Callithrix jacchus: one gene and its partners. The protein of the gene in region 1 interacts with the protein of each later gene in a pairwise test. Links are inferred from orthologs where the notes say so. Each region holds a gene or a part of one and is shown on either strand. Other genes may lie near its edges. The genes, in order: MAP2K3, PDGFRA, FGFR4 and ARNT.

Evidence for each region.
Region 2: the proteins of MAP2K3 (region 1) and PDGFRA come close enough for resonance energy transfer, tested with the Homo sapiens proteins (2 studies listed by BioGRID). The link is inferred for Callithrix jacchus from reciprocal best matches to the Homo sapiens genes MAP2K3 and PDGFRA.
Region 3: the proteins of MAP2K3 (region 1) and FGFR4 come close enough for resonance energy transfer, tested with the Homo sapiens proteins (2 studies listed by BioGRID). The link is inferred for Callithrix jacchus from reciprocal best matches to the Homo sapiens genes MAP2K3 and FGFR4.
Region 4: the proteins of MAP2K3 (region 1) and ARNT come close enough for resonance energy transfer, tested with the Homo sapiens proteins (2 studies listed by BioGRID). The link is inferred for Callithrix jacchus from reciprocal best matches to the Homo sapiens genes MAP2K3 and ARNT.

The regions. Positions count from the first base shown.
Region 1 is NC_133506.1:64,703,229-64,708,922, reverse strand, and holds the start of MAP2K3 (dual specificity mitogen-activated protein kinase kinase 3), read left to right. Parts: upstream 1-2,404; 5' UTR 2,405-2,578; coding exon 2,579-2,627; exon of another isoform or gene 2,628-4,251; intron 4,252-4,933; exon of another isoform or gene 4,934-5,134; intron 5,135-5,694. UniProt on the Homo sapiens protein: Dual specificity kinase. Is activated by cytokines and environmental stress in vivo. Catalyzes the concomitant phosphorylation of a threonine and a tyrosine residue in the MAP kinase p38.
Region 2 is NC_133504.1:142,461,686-142,465,768, reverse strand, and holds the end of PDGFRA (platelet-derived growth factor receptor alpha precursor), read left to right. Parts: intron 1-2,015; coding exon 2,016-2,163; 3' UTR 2,164-2,426; downstream 2,427-4,083. UniProt on the Homo sapiens protein: Tyrosine-protein kinase that acts as a cell-surface receptor for PDGFA, PDGFB and PDGFC and plays an essential role in the regulation of embryonic development, cell proliferation, survival and chemotaxis.
Region 3 is NC_133503.1:69,050,394-69,055,472, forward strand, and holds part of FGFR4 (fibroblast growth factor receptor 4), read right to left. Parts: coding exon 5,034-5,079; intron 4,334-5,033; coding exon 4,070-4,333; intron 3,979-4,069; coding exon 3,898-3,978; intron 3,792-3,897; coding exon 3,625-3,791; intron 3,141-3,624; coding exon 3,017-3,140; intron 2,513-3,016; coding exon 2,322-2,512; intron 2,194-2,321; coding exon 2,055-2,193; intron 1,711-2,054; coding exon 1,517-1,710; intron 1,443-1,516; coding exon 1,297-1,442; intron 1,194-1,296; coding exon 1,072-1,193; intron 1-1,071. UniProt on the Homo sapiens protein: Tyrosine-protein kinase that acts as a cell-surface receptor for fibroblast growth factors and plays a role in the regulation of cell proliferation, differentiation and migration, and in regulation of lipid metabolism, bile acid biosynthesis, glucose uptake, vitamin D metabolism and phosphate homeostasis.
Region 4 is NC_133519.1:10,773,298-10,779,078, forward strand, and holds the start of ARNT (aryl hydrocarbon receptor nuclear translocator), read right to left. Parts: upstream 3,875-5,781; 5' UTR 3,740-3,874; coding exon 3,715-3,739; intron 3,551-3,714; exon of another isoform or gene 3,447-3,550; intron 1-3,446. UniProt on the Homo sapiens protein: Required for activity of the AHR. Upon ligand binding, AHR translocates into the nucleus, where it heterodimerizes with ARNT and induces transcription by binding to xenobiotic response elements (XRE).

The DNA of each region.
Region 1 (5,694 bases):
GCCTGGCAAGCTCCTACTGGCCCTGGACCTCCTTAAAGGTCCAGTCTCAAAATCATCTCCTCTGAGAAGCCTTCCTTGACCCCACCCAGATGGAGATGCCTGCATCACCCAGGCATCCTCCTGGGACTTTTGCTCATGCATCTATATATAGCACTCACATGGAGTTTTGTGATTCCTGGGCTGTTTATCGGGCTCCTGACTAATCTACAAACTCCTTTGTATATGAGGGCCTGTCTGAGTCATCTGGCCACCACAGAGGTTGGCACAGGACTGGAGTCACTTCACCCTGGTCTGTGCATGTTTTCCTCCTTCCTTTTTTCATTCCTCAAATATTTATTAGGCACCTATGATGTGCCTGGTTCTTGGCTGTGCATCGGGCACACAGCAGGGAATGAGGCGAGGGTGGTCTGGAGGGAGAACTGTGTTAAAAACTCAGTAACAAAGGCATCAGCAGCACGAGTGTTGTGCCTCAGTTTGAGGACCATGATGAGAAGGCCTCTTAGGGGCATTCATTTAGGAGGCAGTCTGAGGGATGAGAGGGAACCAGCCCCAGGAGGCTTGAGTGGAGGAATGTTCTGGGCAGTAGCAGCAAGGGTGAAGCCCCTGCAGCAGAACCATCCCTGGCACATTTGAGGGGCACACTAAGATTCTTGAACATCCCAAGGAGCACAGTGCACAAGGCGGAGTGTGGGGGAGCAGGAGTCAAGGCCGTTGGCTGGGGCTTGAACCCGGAAAACTCGCTGGACCAGGCTTGCAATTCTGGTAGAAAGGAAATGGCTGCTGGATGCCCATTTTACAGATGGGTAAGCGCAGGTCACCAGGGATGATATGGCCAGGATGGAGGAAGCCCACAGTATTCACAAACTCACATTTCGTGGGCACCTAGTGAGTGCCAGGCCCTAGGCCAGGTATTTCCACTCCTGAACTCATGAAATGCTTTCAGAGTCCTTACTGTCCCCATGGGATAGATAAACTGAGGGACAGAGCTTCTCAGTGACTTCTCCAAGGTCACCCAGCTAGTAAGTGGGGGAGCTGGTGTTGGAGTTTGTACGGGTCTGAGCCCCAGGCTCATGATTTCCACCCCATGACCTGGGAAGGGTAAACAGGAGATGCAGGAAGAGAAAGGTGATGACTCCAAGGCTTCCCTCTTATCTCACGTGGCCCTCCCCGCCGCTGTGTGCACGGGGCCTGCATCACCCCCACTTTACACCTGGGCAAGCAGAGGTCAGCCCTGGCCTCAAGCGTTCTGGCAGGTGGTGGAATCTGCTTCCCTCACGTGAGGTCCCTGACAGGGTACACACTCATGTCTGCCTGGAGGCCAGGGGCTGACCCATTGCCCTTTGCCTGGCACATTCTGCCCTCACTAGCCCTGGATTTACATCCAGAGTCACCTGATCCCAGCACCAGATTGGTCAGCGGTTCCTGAAATTCCCCCAGGTTCTGTGTGGGAGCAGAGGGAGGACTGGCCCATCCACCCATTATGCAGATGAGCAGACTGAGGTCTTAGCAGGAGTGGAGAGAACCAAGGCCCAGGAGAGAGCCGGGATGGGGCCTGGGGCTCGCGGGATAAAATGCACCGCATGCCACCTCACTCCTTCTGAGACACAGTTTCCCCCTGTGTAGAACAGGGGCAACAGTAACCAGCCACGAAAGCTCCTCGTGCTGCCTTGTCACCGGGCATCGCTGAGCTCACCACCGACTCCACGCCCTGGACTGGCGCCTGGTGCCCGGGCTCAAGTGAACGTTTGTTGGCGCGGGGCTCTCCGTGCGTGTTAGCGAGCAGCGCCGGGAGGTGGCTGTCACCGCCGCCCGCTCACAGAGGCTTAGACTGAGGCTCAGGTGTCACGACCTGCCCGAGGCCAGTCCCGCTGCAAAGTTGCCGACTCGTATCTGAAACCCGGTCTCAACCCAGCAGCTTGCTTTTAACCCCCGGCCTCCTCGCCAGGCCCAGCCGCACCACCTTTGGGGATCTCGGGGTTTTTCCAGACCAAGCACCCAGGAGAACGCGCCCTCGCAGCGCACCCGCCGGGGCTGCGGGTCTGGAGGTGCTGGGCGGGGTCTGGGGGTGCTGGGGGGGGTCTGGCGCCAGCAGGGAGTTGCGGGCTCAGTGGGTCCCGGGAGTGGGCGGGGCTTGCGTGTTGACGGGCAGCGCGAGGGGCGAGGCTTTAGATCAGGAGGGCGGAGTCTGGCCGGGCCTTGTTTTTTCGGGCGGCGGGCGGACTTGACAGAGAGCGAGAGGGACCAGGATCTTGGGCCCACGGGGTGGTTGGGCGTATGTTTGATAGGCAGGGACAGCCGGCGTCTGATAGGCGGGGTACAGGCCTTGGAAACGGGAGGGCCAATCGGCACGCAGGGGTGGGGCCTAAGTTAGCGCTGTTCGGCCGGGGTACACCGGGCGCTGCCCAGTCTGGCTCTGGCGCCGCCAGTTGCGGACGCGTCCCGCTGCAGTCGCTGCCGCGTGCCTCTGCTCCTCCGCCTGACCCGGGCTATCTGCCCGCAGCCATGAGCGTGCTCGGCCCCGGTGGAGCCCGCTGTCCTCTAGATTAGTCCCCGCCGCCGTCCCGGACCGGTCTGCAGCATGGAGTCGCCAGCCTCGAGCCAGCCCGCCAGCATGCCCCAGTCCAAAGGTAGGCGCTCCCCGCCGGAACCTTGTCCTGACCCCGGGCCCAGTCTGGGGTCGGGCTGCAAACTCTGACCGTTCTGTGGTCCCACCCTATCCTGTCCTTGACCTAGCAGCGGCGCCCTGTCCCGGAACCCCTTCCTGTTTGGGTTCCCAGGACCGGCCCCAGCCTGGGACCTCACCTGGATCCCCAGGTTAGGCCTTGGGACTGCACTCAGGCTCGAGATCACCCAGGCTGAACCCAGGCGAGGACTTTGTTCCCACCCATCCAAGTCAGGAGCCCCACTCTGACCTCATTTGGGCCTTATGGCTGCAGCCTAGACAGGAACTCTCCCAATCTTCTCCGTCAGCGGGACCCGGGTGAGATTCACACTGGCCCCCACCTGGATCCTTGGTCAGCACCCAGTCCCACGTCCAGTTTCGGGACCCAGGGCTGTATCTAGGCTGGGATATCGCTTGCGTCTCCATCTGGGCCCCAGAGTGCTCCTGTTGTTGCGGGCCTCACTGTAGCCCCTATGTGGGTGCTCTGGCTATACCCCAGCTCAGAACCGCCTGACCTCCTCTCCCCCAACTCTCCCTCTCCTTTAGGCCCTATGTTACCCCTTCCCTGGCTGACCTCCACCCCGTCCTGCAGTCCTGTGTCCCCAGGAACCTCCCTTGTCCTCTCACCCCTCCGTAAGGTGCAGCCCCCTCTGTACCGACTCCTCTCTGAGTTGCAAGCTTCTCCCTGCACTTGGGGCGCTCACCCCATCTGGTTCCCGTCCCAGCTGCCTGGGATCTGGGCCAGCCGCCAGGCCAGGGTGCTGGCTGTGCAAGGGATTTGCTCTTCTCCAAGTAGCTGGCTTTCCTGGAAATTTTTGTGAGGTGGCGGCAGCAGGATTTGTCATGCGGAGGGGGGAAGGACGAGACTTGGAGGGCAGAAGGGGAATTTTTTTTTTTCAGGAAGAGGAGAGGATGTTTTTGGTGCGTCGGAGTTTCAGCAGGCTGTGTTGTGAGAGATTTCCAAACCGGACATAGCTGTAATGAATGGGCTGCCTCACCCCAGCAAGCTCCCTGGTGTCTCTGGGTCTCAGTTTTCTTTTCTGTAAATTGGAAGTCATCACACCTGCTTCTGTGGACGCGGGAGTGGGGTGTGGGGTGGTGAATGCTAATGAGCTCTGAGGCGTTCTTTCACTCAAAGAGAGCCTGGCGAGGGCCAGTGCTCACCAGGGGACACCGGCTGCATGCATCCCGCTGTTGCTTTCATTCTTGCTGGAAAGGCCCCCGCTGCTGGGACTCCACTGCAGAGTGAGCAGGAGGCAGGTAGCAGCGGGCACCCCCTCATCAGGGGTCAACCACTCTCCTGCCCTGGAGGGTGCATGCCAGTGGAAGCCCTATGGGGGTCTGGGGAGGGCATGGGCTCTTCCTGGCCCCTGCTGCTGGCTGCTGTGGTGGCTGGAGCCGGGTGGGCAGAATAATTATGCCTTACATAAGTGGGAGGCTGGATCCCTGACAACTGCCCAACCACTGTGAGTAACTCAGGAGGCACTCGCCGGGGGAGGCATCTGAAGAGGGACTTCACTGCACAGACCTCGTGGAGCTTGGGAACCGGGAAATCAGACACTTCTCCACTCTGGAGAGCTCGGGGAGGGGTAAGAAGCACTGTTTGTTTTGGAGGCTTTTTTAGCTCTCCAGGCAGGGAATGCCTCAGCAAAATAAAAGCTCCAGTTGCAGAGTTGTGCAGGGAGAGGGGTCACAGAGGTGGTGGGAGCGCTGTGAGAAGGCCAGGATGAACTTCTAGATGTGAACCCAGGTCCCAGATGAGGTTGGGTGGGCTGAATGGAGGGTCAGGGACCTCCCTCAGGCCCAGGCACTCTATAGCCTCTTCGGGGTCTGGAGAAGTATGTGGTGGCAGAGCCACAGTGCCCCTCACCAAAATCCCTGTGAGCTCCTTCTTTTTTTCCATGTGCCATGCATTTCCTCATTCATTCCTCACAGCCCCATTTACAGATAAGGAAACTGAGGCCCAGAGGCATTAAGTGCCTTGCCTGAGGCCACACAGAGGTGACAGGTGTACTAGGGTTCCCCCAGGACTGTGTGTCTCCACAGAGGTCTTCCCAGTGACCCCCTGTGTGCCGCTCCCATGCTAGATGCCTGAGCTGAGTGGGTGGGACACCCTCACCCCTGGCCTTGCTCACAGCCTGTGCAGTGGGCCTATCCTCATGGCCATGTCAGACCTCCAGGACAGACTGAAGCAGAGGTGCTGCCTTTCCTGTGCACAGCGCTTCACGCTGGGCCTGAGGCATATTCACTGCAATCTGACCCATTTGACAGATGCAGAACTGAGCTTGGAGGGAGGATGGCCGGCCTGCCCCAATAGGTGGAGATCCTCGCCCCATGCCCGCCCCATCCTGGGCACTGGGCCTCCCAGCACAGAGCCTTCTCCACCTTCTCAAAGGAATTTGAACACGGCAGGGAGTGGCTGGCGCTTGACCTTACTGGAGCTTTACCTTTGAGCTTCCTGCCATGCAGCAGGTACCCGGCCCCGTCCTCCGTCCTCCGTGCCATCGGCCTGGGGAGTTTTCTGTGTGTGTGCAGCCCTCAGGCCCGGAGCTCTGCTGGTCTTCCCCTGGCCTCCTTGCCCACATGGTCATCTTTGGGCCAGTGGGCAGGGGCATGTGTGCAAGCCACCTTTGTCCTTGCAGGGTACCACACATGTCCTGTCGTCGTTCAGAGCATGGGTTCTGCCCTTCTGCCCTAAGAGTGCCACCTGTGGAGGCACTTCATGGTTAATTTTCACATGGCTTGGACCGTGGCTCCGGACTCCTGACTGCCCCATGGGAACACCGAGGCTTCACGGAGCACAGCCATGTCCTAGCCCTGCCTGGTGTGGCCACCCTCCCCCACCTTCGGCTGTCAGAAAGACTGGAGGTGGCACCTCGGGGACTTCCCCCACCCCTCTTGTGACGCACAGGAAACTCTCTGTCAGCCAACCCATGGCCCAGGGCCCAAAGGGAGCAAAGTTCTCAGTTGGCCTGTGTGAGGAGAAGGCCGGGACCACGGAGGCTTCCGGCCATGAGTCAGCGGGCACTGGG
Region 2 (4,083 bases), on another chromosome or scaffold:
ACCTGCAGAGATTTAAAAACTGCTGATATACAAGTGTCACCCAAAACAACAAATTGGAATCTCTGGGGGTGGTGGCCAACTGCTCCCTGGCTGATTTGTTTCTGCTTTCTTTTAAATGTTGTATTATGGAAAGTTTCTAACATGTGTACAATTCACATAGAATAGTGAGCTGTTTGGTATCCGTCACCCAGGTTCAGTAAGTATGCAGTCTGCCAGCCTGGATGCAGGCATGGCCAGTCTGTCTCTCCTCAGCCTCCTCTGGATTGTTTGGAAGCAAATCCTAGGCACCGTATCATTTTGCCCATAAGTATTCCAGTGTGTGTCTCTTAAAGATAAGAGCTCCATTTTAAAGATTAATAACATTATTTAAAAAGTTGTTAAAAATAACTACCATGCCATCATCTCACCCAAAACAGGGACAATAGATTGTTAAGGCATCAGATAGCCAGTTAAAATTCAAATTATCTCACAAATATTATCATACTCCATTAAAAAGTGAGCAGAGGACATGAGCAGACACTTTTCAAAAGAAGACATCTGTGCAGCCAACAAACATGAAAAAACGGTCAACATCATTGATCATTAGATCAAATCAGAACCATGATGAGATACCATCTCACAGCAGTCAGAATGGTTATTATTAAAAAGTCAAAAAATAACAGGTGCTGATGAGGTTGTGGAGAACAGGGAACGCTTAGGCACTGCTCATTGGAGTGCAAATTAGTTCAGCTACTGTGGAAAGCAGTGTGGTGATTTCTCAAAGAACTTAAAGCAGAATTACCATTCCACCCAGCAATCCCATTATTGAGTATATAACCAGAGAAATAGAAATCGTTCTACCACAAAAACATGCATACATATGCTCAGTGCAGCACTATTCACAATCACAGAGACATGGCATCAACCCAAACGCCCATTGACAGTAGACTGCATAAAGAAAATGTGGTACTTATACACCACGGACTGCTATGCGTCAATAAAGAAGGACGAGATCTGAGATACCATATCCCACCCGTCAGAGTGGCTGTTATTTAAAAGTCAAAAAACAGCAGATGCTGGTGAGGTTGTGGAGAAAAACGCTTTACAACGTTGGTTGGAGTGTAAATCAGTTCAACCGTTGTGGAAGACAGTGTGGCGATTCGTCGAAGACCTAGAGGCAGAAATGCTGTTTGACCCTTTAATCCCATTACCGGGTATATATCCAAAGGAATATAAATAATTCTATTATAAAGATACATGCATGTGTATGTTCACTGCAGCACTATTTCGGTTGTAAAAGGGCTCTGCTTCTAAGTAAAGTTAGAAAGTCACATTGAAATAAATAACATGAGACAGGTGCCTAGAAGTTTTCTAGGGCGACAGCAGGCTGAGCTGAAGAATTTGATACACCAGGAATTGAACTTTCTCAGTTGAAGTTAAGTAAGTGACATCACGCAGCTAGTAAGTGATGGGACCATTCCAGACCGAAGACTTTTTGACGCCAGAAGTCCCCTTTCAACCACTGCTGTGGTACATAAGGAGGCCTTCAAGATGTGGGGGGCACTGGCTGTCAAGAGAGAGGGAAAGAGGCCATTCCAGGTGAGTGGCAGGAGATCCTAAGAACACAGTTTGGATCTCAGGAGGCTTCCGGGAGAGAACCTGACAGGCCTGGCTGCAACTTGCAGCTGACTTCACCCCCCTGCTCTGCCTTCCTGGGCCTTTGGATCAGGCATTGCTTATTTTCTCTTCCACTAGGACTGAGTAGGGAAGGTAGACATTGTTGCAGCTGCTCAGCAACTTCGATGAAAGACCCGGCAGAAAAGCAGGAAAGCTGAAGTGTAAAAATGACAGGTGGACCTTGGTTTTCCATGTGGCCTAGCACAGCATGTCAGGCCAGGGCAGAATCTTGCCATACTCTGCAGCCCAATTTTGAATGCGGAAGGCTTTCCTTTGTCTCTGGGGATGGGGGACACACTCTAGTTCTAGTTCTGTGCAGGAGAAGCTTTGTAACCTTTTCTCTTCTCTCCCTCCTCCAGCTCACAGACCTCTGAAGAGAGTGCCATTGAGACAGGTTCCAGCAGTTCGACCTTCATCAAGAGAGAGGATGAGACCATCGAAGACATCGACATGATGGACGACATCGGCATAGACTCTTCAGACCTGGTGGAAGACAGCTTCCTGTAACTGACAACTCGAGGGGTTCCTTTCACTTCTGGGGCCACCTCTGGATCCCATTCAGAAAACCACTTTATTGCAATGCAGAGGTTGAGAGGAGGACTTGGTTGATGTTTAAAGAGAAGTTCCCAGCCAAGGGCCTCGGGGAGCCTTCTACATATGAACGAATGGGATATTTTGAAATGAACGTTTTCCAGCATTGCCTCTTGTAATGCCTCAGTAGCATCTCAGTGGTGTGTGAAATTTGGAGATAGATGAACAAGGGAATAATAGGCCACAGAAGGTGAACTTTGTATTTCAAGGGCATTGGTGAGAGTCCAGTGGACACAATTTATACAGCGACAAAACTTCAGCATTGTAATTATGTAAATAACTCTAACCAAGGCTGTGTTAGTAGATTGTATTAACTGTCTTCTTTGGACTTCTGACGAGACCACTCAATCCATCCATGTACTTCCCTCTTGAAACCTGATATCAGCTGCTGTTGAACTTTTTTGTGAAGTGCATGAAAAACCACTTTTGAACCCTAAAAGGTACTGGTACTATATATTTTACTATTTTTTTTTTTCTAGCGTTAAAAGAGATCAAGAATAATAATTAACCAACCTTGTTTCATAGATTTGGGTCATTTAGAAGGCTGACAACTCATTTTCGTATTGTAATCTACATTTATAATAATACTACTGTTATCAGTAATGCTAAATGTGTAATATGTAACATGATTTCCCTCCAGAGAAAGCACAATTTTAAAAAATCCTTACTAAGTAGGTGACAAGTTTGACAGTTTTTGACATTTATATTAAATAACATGTTTCTCTGTAAAGTACGGTAATAGCTTTAGTGAATTAAATTTAGCTGAGCATAGAGAACAAAGTAAAAGTAGTGTTGTCCAGGAAGTCAGAGTTTTTAACTGTACTGAATAGGTTCCCCCGTCCATGGTACTAAAAACAATTAACTGCCCTCTGAAATAATGGGATTAGAAACAAACAAAACTCTTAAGTCCTAAAAGTTCTCCATGTAGAGCCATAAACCTGTGCTGAACATGATTTCTCATGTATATTACCCAATGGAAAATATAATGATCAGCAAAAAGACTGGATTTGCAGAGGCCTTTTTCTTCTTCTTCTTCTTCATGCCTGGTGAAAGCTTCAGCGAATCCCAGTCTATATATTTTTTGAATCTGTGAACCTGAAAAGGGTCAGAATGATGCCTAGACATCAGCCTCCTTCTTCCACCCTTGACCCAAAAAAGAAAGAGTTTGAAACTCGAGACCATAAAGGTATTGTTTAGTAGAGGCTGCATATGCATTAGCCTGGATCCTCAGTTCTTGAATGTGAGCGGCAGCCAGAATCGCTAGATGCTGGGTTTTCATCCCTGAGATTCTGAAGTATGAAGTCTGGGCGAAGCCAGAATCTCTGTTTCTAAACTCCCTGGCTGTTTTGATCGGCCAGTTTTCAGAAACACCGACTTAAGTTTCAGGAAGTTGCCATGGGAAACAAATAATTTGAACTTTAGAACAGGGTTGGAATTCAACCACACAGGAAGCCTACTATTTAAATCCTTGGCTCCAGGTCAGTGACATTTAATGCCATCTAGCTAGCAATTGTGACCCTTAATTTAACTTTCCAGTCTTAGCTGAGGCTAAGAAAGCTAAAGTTTGGTTTTGGCAGGTTTTCCAAAAGTAGATGCTACTTCCCACTGTATGGGGGAGCTGAACTTGCCCCGTCTCCCATCTCCCACCTCCTTCTCCGTTCCCCACCAAGGAAAGGCATGTACAAAAATGATGCAATTCAGTGTTCCAAGTCTCTATGTAACCAGCTCAGTGTTTGGTGAAAAAAAGAAAATAAGTTTTACCGATAATTTGGGTTTAGATGGGAGGAGGAATTGTCACGTCTTATCCACACTGTCAAACAGGTTGGTGTGGGTTCA
Region 3 (5,079 bases), on another chromosome or scaffold:
GGAAACTGAGGGTCAGAAGTCACTTGCCAGGGTCAGGAGTGGAGTTGAATTGCAGGCTTAAGGGTGGGATCCTGCAGCCTCTCCCAGCTCCAAGGTTCACCTGGTAGCACCGTGAGCCCCAGTGCCATAGCACCGCCTCCAGGCTGTCACATTCACCTTTTATTTTTCTTTTCTCTCTCTTTTTTTTTTTTTTTTTTTGAGACGGAGTCTCCCTCTGTTGCCCGGGCTGGAGTGCAATGGCATGGTCTCAGCTCACTGCAACCTCTGCCTCCTGGGTTTAAGTGATTCTCCTGCCTCAGCCTCCAGAGTAGCTGGGATTACAGGTGACCACCACCACGCCTGGCTAATTTTTTTGTTTTTTTGAGACAGTCTCGCTCTGTCACCAGGTTGGAGTGCAGTGGCGTGATCTTGGGTCTCTACAACTTCTGCCTTCCAGGCTCAAATGATTCTACTGCATCAACCTCCCGAGTAGCTGAAACTACAGGTGTGTGCCACCATGCCCAGCTAATTTTTGTATATTTAGTAGAGACAGGATTTCATCATGTTGGCCAGGATGGTCTTGATCTCTTGACCTCATGATCCATCTGCCTCAGCCTCCCAAAGTGCTGGGATTACAGGCGTGAGCCACTGTGCCTGGCCTAAAATTTTTCTGTTTCTAGTAGAGATGTGCTGGTCTCAAACTCCTGACTTCGTGATCCGCCCGCCTCAGCCTCCAAAAATGCTGGAATTACAAAGACATGAGCCATTGCGTCTGGCCTATTTTTATTTATTTATTTTTAGAAAGGGTCTCACTCTGTTGCCCAGGGTGGAATACTGTGACTTGATCATGGCTCATTGCAACCTCCAACTCCTGGATTCAAAGGATCCTCCTGCCTCAGCCTTCCTAGCAGCTGGGACTAAAGGTACATACCGCTACACTCAGCTAATTTTCTTACTCTTTTTGTAGAGATGGAGTCTCACCATATTGCCCAGGCTACCTCAAACTCCTGGATTCAAGCAATCCTCCTCCTACCTTGGCCTCCCAAAGGGCTGACATTACAGGTGTGAGTCACTGCACCCAGCCACACTCACCTTTGAGCATCTTGACGGCCACAGTGCTGGCTTGGTCAGGTTGGGCAGGGTCCATGCCAAAGGCCTCTGCACATATTACCTGCCCAAAGCAGCCCTCGCCCAGGGGCTTCCCAAGCACCAGCCTGGAGATGGAGAGAGTGCATGCCTCAGACCTCCGAATCACTCCTGATAAGGGTGGGTTGCAACCCAGCGCCCGTGTCCCCGCCCCCACACAGCTCAGCGCACCTGTCCCGGGGGAACTCCCATAGTGGGTCGAGAGGTAGGTCTAGACTCACGGGGCCGGCGAGCAAGGCAGGGCCGTTGGAGGAGAGACGTACACCTCGCACCAGGGATAAGCTTGACTTGCCGGAGGAGCCTGACTCCAGGGAGAACTGCAAAGTGGGAGACTTGGTTCTGCCTGCTAGAGTCAGGCTGCAACACACAAGGTGGGGGATGCGCCCAATACCTGTCGGGCCAGAGGGAAGCGGGACAACTTCTGCACAGTGGCAGGCTGGCGGGGGTGCCGGCCGTGGAGTGCCTGCCCTCGATACAGCCCAGCTAGCAGCAGGAGTACAGCCAAGGCCAGGGAGCCCGACACGTACAGGATGATGTCCGTATACCTGGCCTCAGGCACTGCTGCAGTCCACGTGAGGTCCTCCTCTGCCCTCGCACATGAATACACACAGACAGACAAACGGGTCAGTGGCGAGACTGGCCGTCCCATGCGCCCCACTCAGGCCTTCCCAGCTCCCAACATGCATGGGGACACAAACGGAGGAAGGTGTAGTTATGCCCAGTCCCAGGTTCCCATACCTCAGCAGAGGGTCACATGGACAGCCACATGTAGAGAGGGGGTGTCATACAGCTCAAAAACACAAATCCACACACTGCCTCACAGGCCAGACCCCACAGACCAATAGAGACTGACCACCGGACAGGCCACGTCCCCCATGGCTGGACCAGAGGGGCACCTTGCAGCATCTCCTGGTCCCTCAGGTGCTCACCTGGCAGCACCGTGAGCCAGGCCGACTGGTAGGAGAGGCCGATGGAATTGCCTGCGAGGCAGGTGTACTCGCCTGCGTCCTCGGCTGACACGTTCCGCAGGTACAGGACCTCCACCTCTGAGCTATTGATGTCTGCAGTCTGGGGAGGGGGACATATTCTGGGGTCACAGCAGGGCCTGGGGCCACACAGAGGCCAAGATGGAAGCTGGGGACCCCCCAACCCCAGGTGGGAGAAGAGTGGGACCCAGGCTGTAGCAGGGACTGTACCTTTAGAACTTGCACATAGGGGAAGCCGTCGGCCCCAAAGCTGCTGCCATTGATGACAATGTGCTTCAGCCACTGGATGTGGGGCTGGGCATCACTGTATACCTTGCACAGCAGCTCCACATCACTGCCTACCACGGCTGTGGTGTTAGCCGGGAGCCCAGCCTGCAGGATGGGCCGGTGTGGGGACCGCTCTGGGGACCAGGCGAGGTGGTCAGCCCTGATTACCAGCACCCATAGAAGCACCCTGTTTGTCTCCCTCCAGCCTTCCTCAAGTTCAAGGGAAGGACCTTTCTGCAGCTTATTGTCCTGATTACCCTGCTTAAACCTTCCCTGGCTCCCCATTGCTTCGGGTCAAGGATGACATCTCAGCCTAGCATTCAAAACCCTCCACCACCTGGCTTTCCACATAAATGCCACGCCCTAGGTATATGCTGGACTGCAAGTGCAGGGCGTTCGTTATACTTAGGCCCTCAGCTCAGGCTGCGCCCTCAGCCTGGATGTCCTTCTTGCTTTTCCTCTTAGCAGACCCCTGCTCATCCAGTGCCACACTAACTCCTGTGCTTTTCCCTGACCCACCTGGTCGCTGAGCTGCTTGACTCATCTGAGTCCATCCTGCCTGCCAAGCTAGGCCCCACCAGAGGGCACAACTGAGCCCAAGACAGTCAGGCCTCCCCAATTCCCTGCCCCATGCTCACCCAGCACATCTAGCAGGTAGCTGTATTGGATGCTGCCCACAGAGTTCTCCACCAGGCAGGTGTATGTGCCGCGGTCCGAGGGCACCACACTCTCCATCACAAGGCTCCAGTGCTGATGGCGCAGCTGCAGACAGAGGGAGTGTGCCCATGGGACCACCAGACCACATCCACCAAGGGGGGCCAGGGGACCAGGAGCCTAGATCCTCATCCTGCCCATAGGGCTTTTCTCAAGCTCTCTAGGCCCCGAGGACATCAGGCCCAGGCCAAGGACTATGGGACAAAGGAGAAGGCTCCCCAAAGTCCTGAGCCTTGGGTCTTTTGAGTTTTAGCTCTCCCTCTCCCTATCTGTGCCACTCTAAGCCAGCCCTTGCCTTCTCTGAGACTCAGTTGCCTCATGATAGCATGGAGCTGACTCAGTAGGGTCTCATCAAGATGATGAGATGCTAAGGCTTATTGATACCATACCAGTCAGTGATTCTTCTTACTTTATAAATGGAGTTGCTGAGGCTGAGAGGTTAAGTCACTTGTCAGAGAGTGGCAGAAGAGGAACTTGAACCAGAGCTCGCCAAGTCCACAGTCTAGGGCTCCTTCTGGGGTCCCACACTCACCCGAATGCCTCCAATGCGATTCTCCCCATGAAAGGCCTGTCCATCCTTAAGCCAGCGGATGGTGGGTGTGGGGTTGCCTGCAGCTGGACAGCGGAACTTGACGGTGTTCCCAGCAGGTACCGCATGCAGTTTCTTCTCCATGCGCTGGGGGTGTGTCCAGTAGGGTGCTGGGGTCGGGGGGAAGGCCCTTAGAATGACTGTGTTCCTACACAGGCCTCTTCTCAGTGACCAGATGAGCAGTGCGGATGCAAGTCCTTGAAGACTTATACTGACCTTGCTGGGGGTAAATATGCCCATTCGAGGAGTCCCTAAGGGATTTGGGGTCCTCATCATCATTGCTGGAGGTCAAGGAGTCTATATCAGGGAGAGAGGGAGGTGTCTGAGGTCCAAGAAGGGCAGGTCTCTCTTCCTAGGCATCCCTTAACTCACTGCTAGAGTCTCTTACCATCTATAACCAAGGTGAGATTCTGCAGGACGATCATGGAGCCTCGTGCCAGGCAGAGGTAGCGGCCAGCATCCTCAGGTAGGAAGCTGGCAATCTCTAGGCGGCCTCTCCAGCCCCGTACACGGCCAGCAGGTGCCAGGCGACTGCCCTCCTTGTACCAGAGGCCACCATGCTCAGCTTGCCCACAGCACAGCTGGACAGGCTGCCCAAGGGCTACTGTCAACTCCTGCTCTTGCTGCTCCAGGCTGGGAGCCAGGCAGGGCTCTGTGGGCAGAGGGCAGAGGTCAGCAGACCCTGCAGCCCCATCCGAGGCAGCCTCCTGCATAGAGAACATGCCGCACATGCAGGGCACAAGCACCTCACAATGCATGCTAGAGGGGCCAGCATCCTTGAAACTCACATTACCACATGCTGCGGATGCCACACCCAGGGCAAATGCCACACTCTTGGGGCATGTCACACACACAGCATTTAGTGCACATGCCACTGCCCAAGACACACATACACACATACACACACGCACACATGGCACATGCCATTGGTGCCACATACAGGGCTCATGCTACACCTCTGGGCATATCACACTCATAATGCATATACCACATGCTGCCTGGGCCTTCTAGGCCACACATCCAGTGCACAGCACACACACACACACACACACAGACACACACACACACGCACACACACACACACACACCCAGGCAAGGAGCTCACCAACTGCTCTGCATCCCAGCTCAGAGCCCTGCGCCCTGCAAGGCCAGTCCTCTCTCGCAGACACAGAGATAGATGGATGCTTGCTGGAAGCCAGGCACTGACTGAGTCTCAGTGATTGGGCCCTGCCCTGCTGCCACCTTCTCAGGGCCTGGGCAAGGATCCTTTCCAGCTTTACTCAGCCCAGCAGCCCCCTCCTGGTGCCCACTCTTCCCACCCCTGCCACCCTCTCCCACCTCAGAAGCCATACCCAGCTCCACTTCCTCAGAGGCCTCCAGGGACAAGGCTGGAGGCAC
Region 4 (5,781 bases), on another chromosome or scaffold:
ATAATGTGTTCCTCAAAACTGTTAATAGTCCACAGACAAGAAAGATATAGCCTAAAGTATTATAGACCACCTACCCACGCAGTTCTACTTGCCAGTGATAAGCAGAACTAGTGAAAAATGATAGAATATGGGGAATCATCAATTTGAGAAAAAAAATCATCACATTAGAACTATTACTTCAACACAACTCTTAGAGAGTTTAAACCATATTTTACTCTTCTTCTAATGCAACACCAACAGTGAAAAATGCAGAGGAACCTGGATCCCTTGAAAAACACTTCAGGGCCACCAGCACAATTAACATGATCAAGCAGTGTTACTAACCCTAAGGATTAACTTGGCTGAGTCAGTGGCTCACACCTATAATCCCAGCAGTTTAGGAGGCTGAGGTGGGAAGATTGCTTGAGGCCAGGAGTTCAAGACCAGCCTGGGTAACATAGCAAGATCCCATCTCTACAAAAAGTTAAAAAATGTATCCAGGTGAGGTGATGTGTGTCTATAGACCCAGATACTCAGGAAGCTGAGGCAGGAAAATCACTTGAGCTCTGGAGTTCAAGGCTGCAGTGAGCATGATTACACCACTGCACTACAGTCTGGGAGACCCTGTCTCAAAAATAAAAATACATATATTTTTAAAAAGGATTAACTTAAATGAAGCTTCAAGAGAAGAGTGAAATATTTTTTTAAATCATCTTGGCCAGGAGCAGCGGCTCACATCTTTAATCCCAGCGCTTTGGGAGGCCAAGGTGGAGGATCACCTGAAGTCAGGAGTTCGAGACCAGCCTTGCCAACATGGAGAAACTCCACCTCTACTAAAAATACAAAATTAGCCAGGTGTGGTGGCACATGCCTATAATCCCAGCTACTCAGGAGGCTGAGGCAGAATCGCTTGAACCCAGGAGGAAGAGGTTGCAGTGAGCCGAGATCGCACCATTGCACTCCAGCCTGGGCAACAAGGGCAAAACTCTGTCCTAAAAAAAACTTCTAGCCAAAACTAACAATAATTTGTTTAAAAAAAACAAATTGTTTAAAAAAAAAAAAAATTAGTACTCCAGCAAAAATACGAAGTAGAAAAAACTCATGATGTCCCTGGTCCTTAAAACGGCTCTAAGGAAATAAGGTATGACAATGTAGCAAAGAATTCTGACCTGAAAACCATTTACTTTCTTTTCACTGAGCACAGTACATTTCCACATAATGTCCCTCCATTCATTAATCTCATTTCCCAAAATGCAACAGACTGCTGAAAAAATCCACAATGTAGGCTGGGCATGAGGGCTCACACCTGTAATCCCAGCACTTTGGAAGGCTGAGGCAGGTGGATCATGAGGTCGAGTTCAAGACCATCCTGGATAACAGGGTGAAACCCCATCTCTATTTAAAAAAAAAAAAAAAAAAATCCACAATGTATCTATGATCTCTTCCTCTTGATATAAAAGTACAAAGGGAGAAAAAAAAAAGAAAATACATCTTTTGATTTGTTTGAACTGAACATGGGATCAATAAGTTAGAAGAGACAGAATTTTTCAACATCAAAAAAGAAATCTGGCCAGGCAAAGTGTCTCACATCTGTATTCCCAACTTTGACATACTGAGACAAGTCTTGCTTGAGACCAGGAGATCAAGAACAGCCTGGGCAACATAGTAAGACATCTGTCTCTACAAAAAAAATTTAAAAATTAAGTGGGCATAGTGGCAAGGCACCTGCAGTGCCAGCTATTCAGGTGAGAGGTTAAGGACTGAGGTGAGAGGATCACTTGAGCCCCAGAGGTGGAGGCTACCATGAGCAGTGATCTTGCCACTGCACTCTCGCCTGCGTGACAGAACAAGGAGCAAGACCCTGTGTCAAAAAGAATAGAGGAGAAAAGAAAAAAGAAAGGATCTAAAAATTGCAGAAGCAAGGCAGCCAAAGCACAGTAAGAGAAAAAAAAAAACTGTTTCATTAACAAGGATTCTGTGTGCTCTTGACACACACACACACACACACACACACACACACACTCTCTCTCTCTCTCTCTCTCTCTCTCTCTCTCTTTCTGCTGAGATTTAAGCTGATATTGATCAGCTTACGAAAATACGGTCAAGAGGCTGTCATTCTGGTTGCTGGTGTTTAAAAAACAAAACAAAATATAGCAACCCCACCCACACAGCTGGAAAAAAGCTTCTGACATAAGAACTAAAACTTGTTTACCCGGGCCACTTTTTAATGAGAAATGCTTTGCAATTTAACTAGGATTATATAAGTATTTTGCAATGTGTGATCAGTTAAAAATCTTGTTTATTTACTCCATAGTTCACGGATAGGTTATTTTACTACAAGGTCAGGTTTGCCGTTAACGGTATTTTTCCTGTTTTACAGTTTTATTCCATCACTCAGCACTTCCTGCAATGTAATTTTTGCCATTAATTTTACCTCCCTTTCCTTTAAAAAAAAATGTAAAGATTTTTAAAAGATGACATGTAACAAATTAACCATTTCTTAAAACAGCTGTTCCCAGAAACATGGTGAAAAAGAAATTTCAGTGATTCAACTGTCCTATCAAAATTTGGGTATCACAAAATAATACCACCTTTCAGTAACATGAAAAACAAATCTAACTTAAATTTCAACGTGGGGATGGGGGAATCACTCCCACTGTTGTATTTTCAAGAAATTCTCTGCCCACCCCCCAACCCCACAACAGACACACACACACACACACACACACACACCCCTCAAGGCTTTTTTTTTTTTTTTAAGGCTATCAAATATACTGGTTTCTGGGAAAGGATAGACTTTATTTTGCAAAAATGACCAAGGTCAGCGAGATGAACTAGGCCCCTAAAATGAAATACCTTCTAAGGAGAAATAACTGTAACATAGAGGAAAGAGGGCTGGGACTAGTAATTTGAAGATCTCATCTCTCTAGACCTACACTAAAGCCTACTCCATCTCTTAGACAAGAAAGGTGAGATCTTTTTGATATTTGGTTATTATTTGAAACTGAGAAACGGTGTGGAATCAAACTTTTCTGAAAGAGTTTGGAGATTGCATCGACCCGGGCCTAACAAGATTTAAACCTGGGGCCGTGGACCAAAGACCTGTCCGGAACCACAACCATTATACAAACCCCTGCCCTCAGCAGGCAAAGACACTACAGGCCTTCTTAAAACAAGACCTAAGTTTCAAAGCATAGTCCGGGGTTGCGGGTGGGAGGTAACAGCCTAAAGAAACGTCGTATATATCAAATAATGTCCATTTTTAATTTTTTTAATTAAATTCTAAACCTTTAAATGTTTGGAAGCAACACCTCAACTAAAGAGCAATATGGTCCAGCTAGCCCTAAATCCAAACTATCCTTAAAGCAAACCGAGCCGCTCTGCCTACAGTTTTCGGCATCAAGCGGCTCCAGCGAGCAGAGGGTTAAGAGAGGACCACATCACAGACCAGACGCCGCCCGAGAAGCGAGGGGGGGCCAGCCCCGCACCGGCCGCAGCTCCAGCGGAGCTCAGGACAGGGAGCCCCCAACTCCCTCGCTCCCTCCACCTCGAGTCTACCCAAGTACTCAGGGTCAGGCCCCTCCCCGGGTCACCGCTCCCCCACTGTCCCCTCGCGGCCCTGCCCCGCCCCGGCGCCTTCAGCTCCAGCTCCGTCCCCTCAGTCCTGGGTCTCCTCAGTTGTCAGCCCCTTCAGCCCCTCCCCTTTAGAGGCGCCCCAGTCCTCCGTCTCCTCACCGGGGTTGGCAGTAGTCGCCGCCATGGCCGTGGATGCCACCGCCGCCGCGCCACCCCCCCCAGTGGGAGGAGCCACCGCCACCGAACCGGGAGGGAGGGGGAGAGAAAGGCCACTCCCCAGAAGCGGCGCCTAACCGCTGCCTCCGCTACCGCGGAATCCAAGATGGCGGCTTCAGCAACCCCCACCATCCCAGCCTCTGTAGCGGAGAGACCCCGCCTGTACGGTGGGCGGAGTCAACACACGGCCAGCCTCCTAGGAAAAAACTGACCACTGAAAATGCCAAATCGACTAAGGGCAGGGCTAGTCACTGCGCCAGCCAGTCCACGGGAGGGAGGGCGAGGAAGAAGTCCAGCTGTCTTCCTAACCCCGCCCTCCTTGCGTAAGAGGTCAATGACCAAGTGATGTCATTGAAATACAATTAAAACGGGTATTTTAGGCCCGGTGAGGTGGCTCGCGCCTGTAATCCCAGTACTTTGGGAGGCCGAGGCTGGTGGATCATCTAAGGTCAGGGGTTCGAAACCAGCCTGGCCAATATGACGAAACCCCGTTTCTATTAAAAATACAAAATTGGCGCATGCCTGTAATCCCAGCTATTTGGGAGGCTGAGGCAGAAGAAAAGCTTGAACCTGGGAGGCGGAGGTTGCAATGAGCCAAGTTTGTGCCTCAGCATTCCAGCCTGGGCAACAAGAGTGAAACTCCGTTTCAAAAAAAAAAAAAATAGGTATTTTACTAAAAACCTTCGCTTGCTGGTGGATTCGTCTGAGTGGTTGCCCTGCAAACAATTTATCTTGTAAATCCCCTGTAGGTGCTCTAATACTTAAACTTCATATGGTGATTTGTAATCCTTTCCAGTTTTTTCCCCCTTTTAAAGACTTTTGTCCTTGGTGAAAAAAGTTAAATGACTTATTTTTTTTTTTGAAACAGAGTCTCACTCTGTCGCCAGGCGCCAGGTTGGAGTGCAGTGGCGCGATCTCGGCTCGCCGCAACCTCCGCCTCCCGGGTTCAAGCAATTCTCCTGCCTCAGCCTCCCCAGTAACTGGGACTACAGGCCCGCGACACCACTCCCAGCTAATTTTTGTATTTTTAGTGGATACGGGGTTTTGCCATGTTGGCCAGGATGGTTTCGATATCTTGACCTCGTGATCCGCCCGCCTCGGTCTCCCAAAGTGCTGGGATTACAGGCGTGAGCCACCGTGCCCGGCAGTGACTAATTTTTGAATGCCTGCTATGGAATTTGTAATATAAAAGGATCCGGGTGTTAACGGTTTGGTATGGGAGATAGCAACAGCAAAAACTGGAGGCAATGGATGAAGAAAGTATTTGCAGAGTGGCTAACTTCCTTTGGTCAGTGATAGGGACACAATGAGGAGTTTTTTTGTTTCCTTTTTGTTTTTTGAGGCGGAGGCCCAGGCTGTAGTGCAGTGGTGTGACTGCAACCTCCACCTACCTGGTTCAAGCAATTCCCCTGAGTCACCCTTCCGAGTAGCTGGGATTACAAGCACACGCCACCACGCCCAGCTAATTTTTTTGTATTTTTAGCAGAGACGGTGTTTCACCATGTTGGCCAGACCAGTCTCCAACTCCTGACCTCAGGCAATCCTCCCGCCTCAGCCTCCAAAAGTGCTGGAATTACAGTGAGGAGGTTTTAGCAGGTAATCAATAAGATGATGGCTATGCAGATCTATTTTCTTTTTTCATTTTTTTCCCCCTAGATGGAGTCTTGCTCTGTCCCAGGCAGGAATGCAGTGGCGCGATCTCGGCTCACGGCAACCACCACCTCCGGGATAGAGCGATTCTGCCTCAGCCTCCCAGATAGCTGGAATTACAGGGGCGCCACCATGTCTGGTTATTTTCTGTTTCCCGATAATAGGAAGCATTGACCTATTTGGTCTAGGCACTGTCCAAAATGCTTTATATGCATTTATTCATTTAATCCTTACAACAATGATGAGGTAGGTTCTACTATTATTTCCATTTTGCAGTTAAGGAAAGTTAAGGAAACAGAAACAAAGAGGTTAATGGCAAGGGACATCTAGCAGGTAAGTAATGTGGGAGGCAAACTAAAG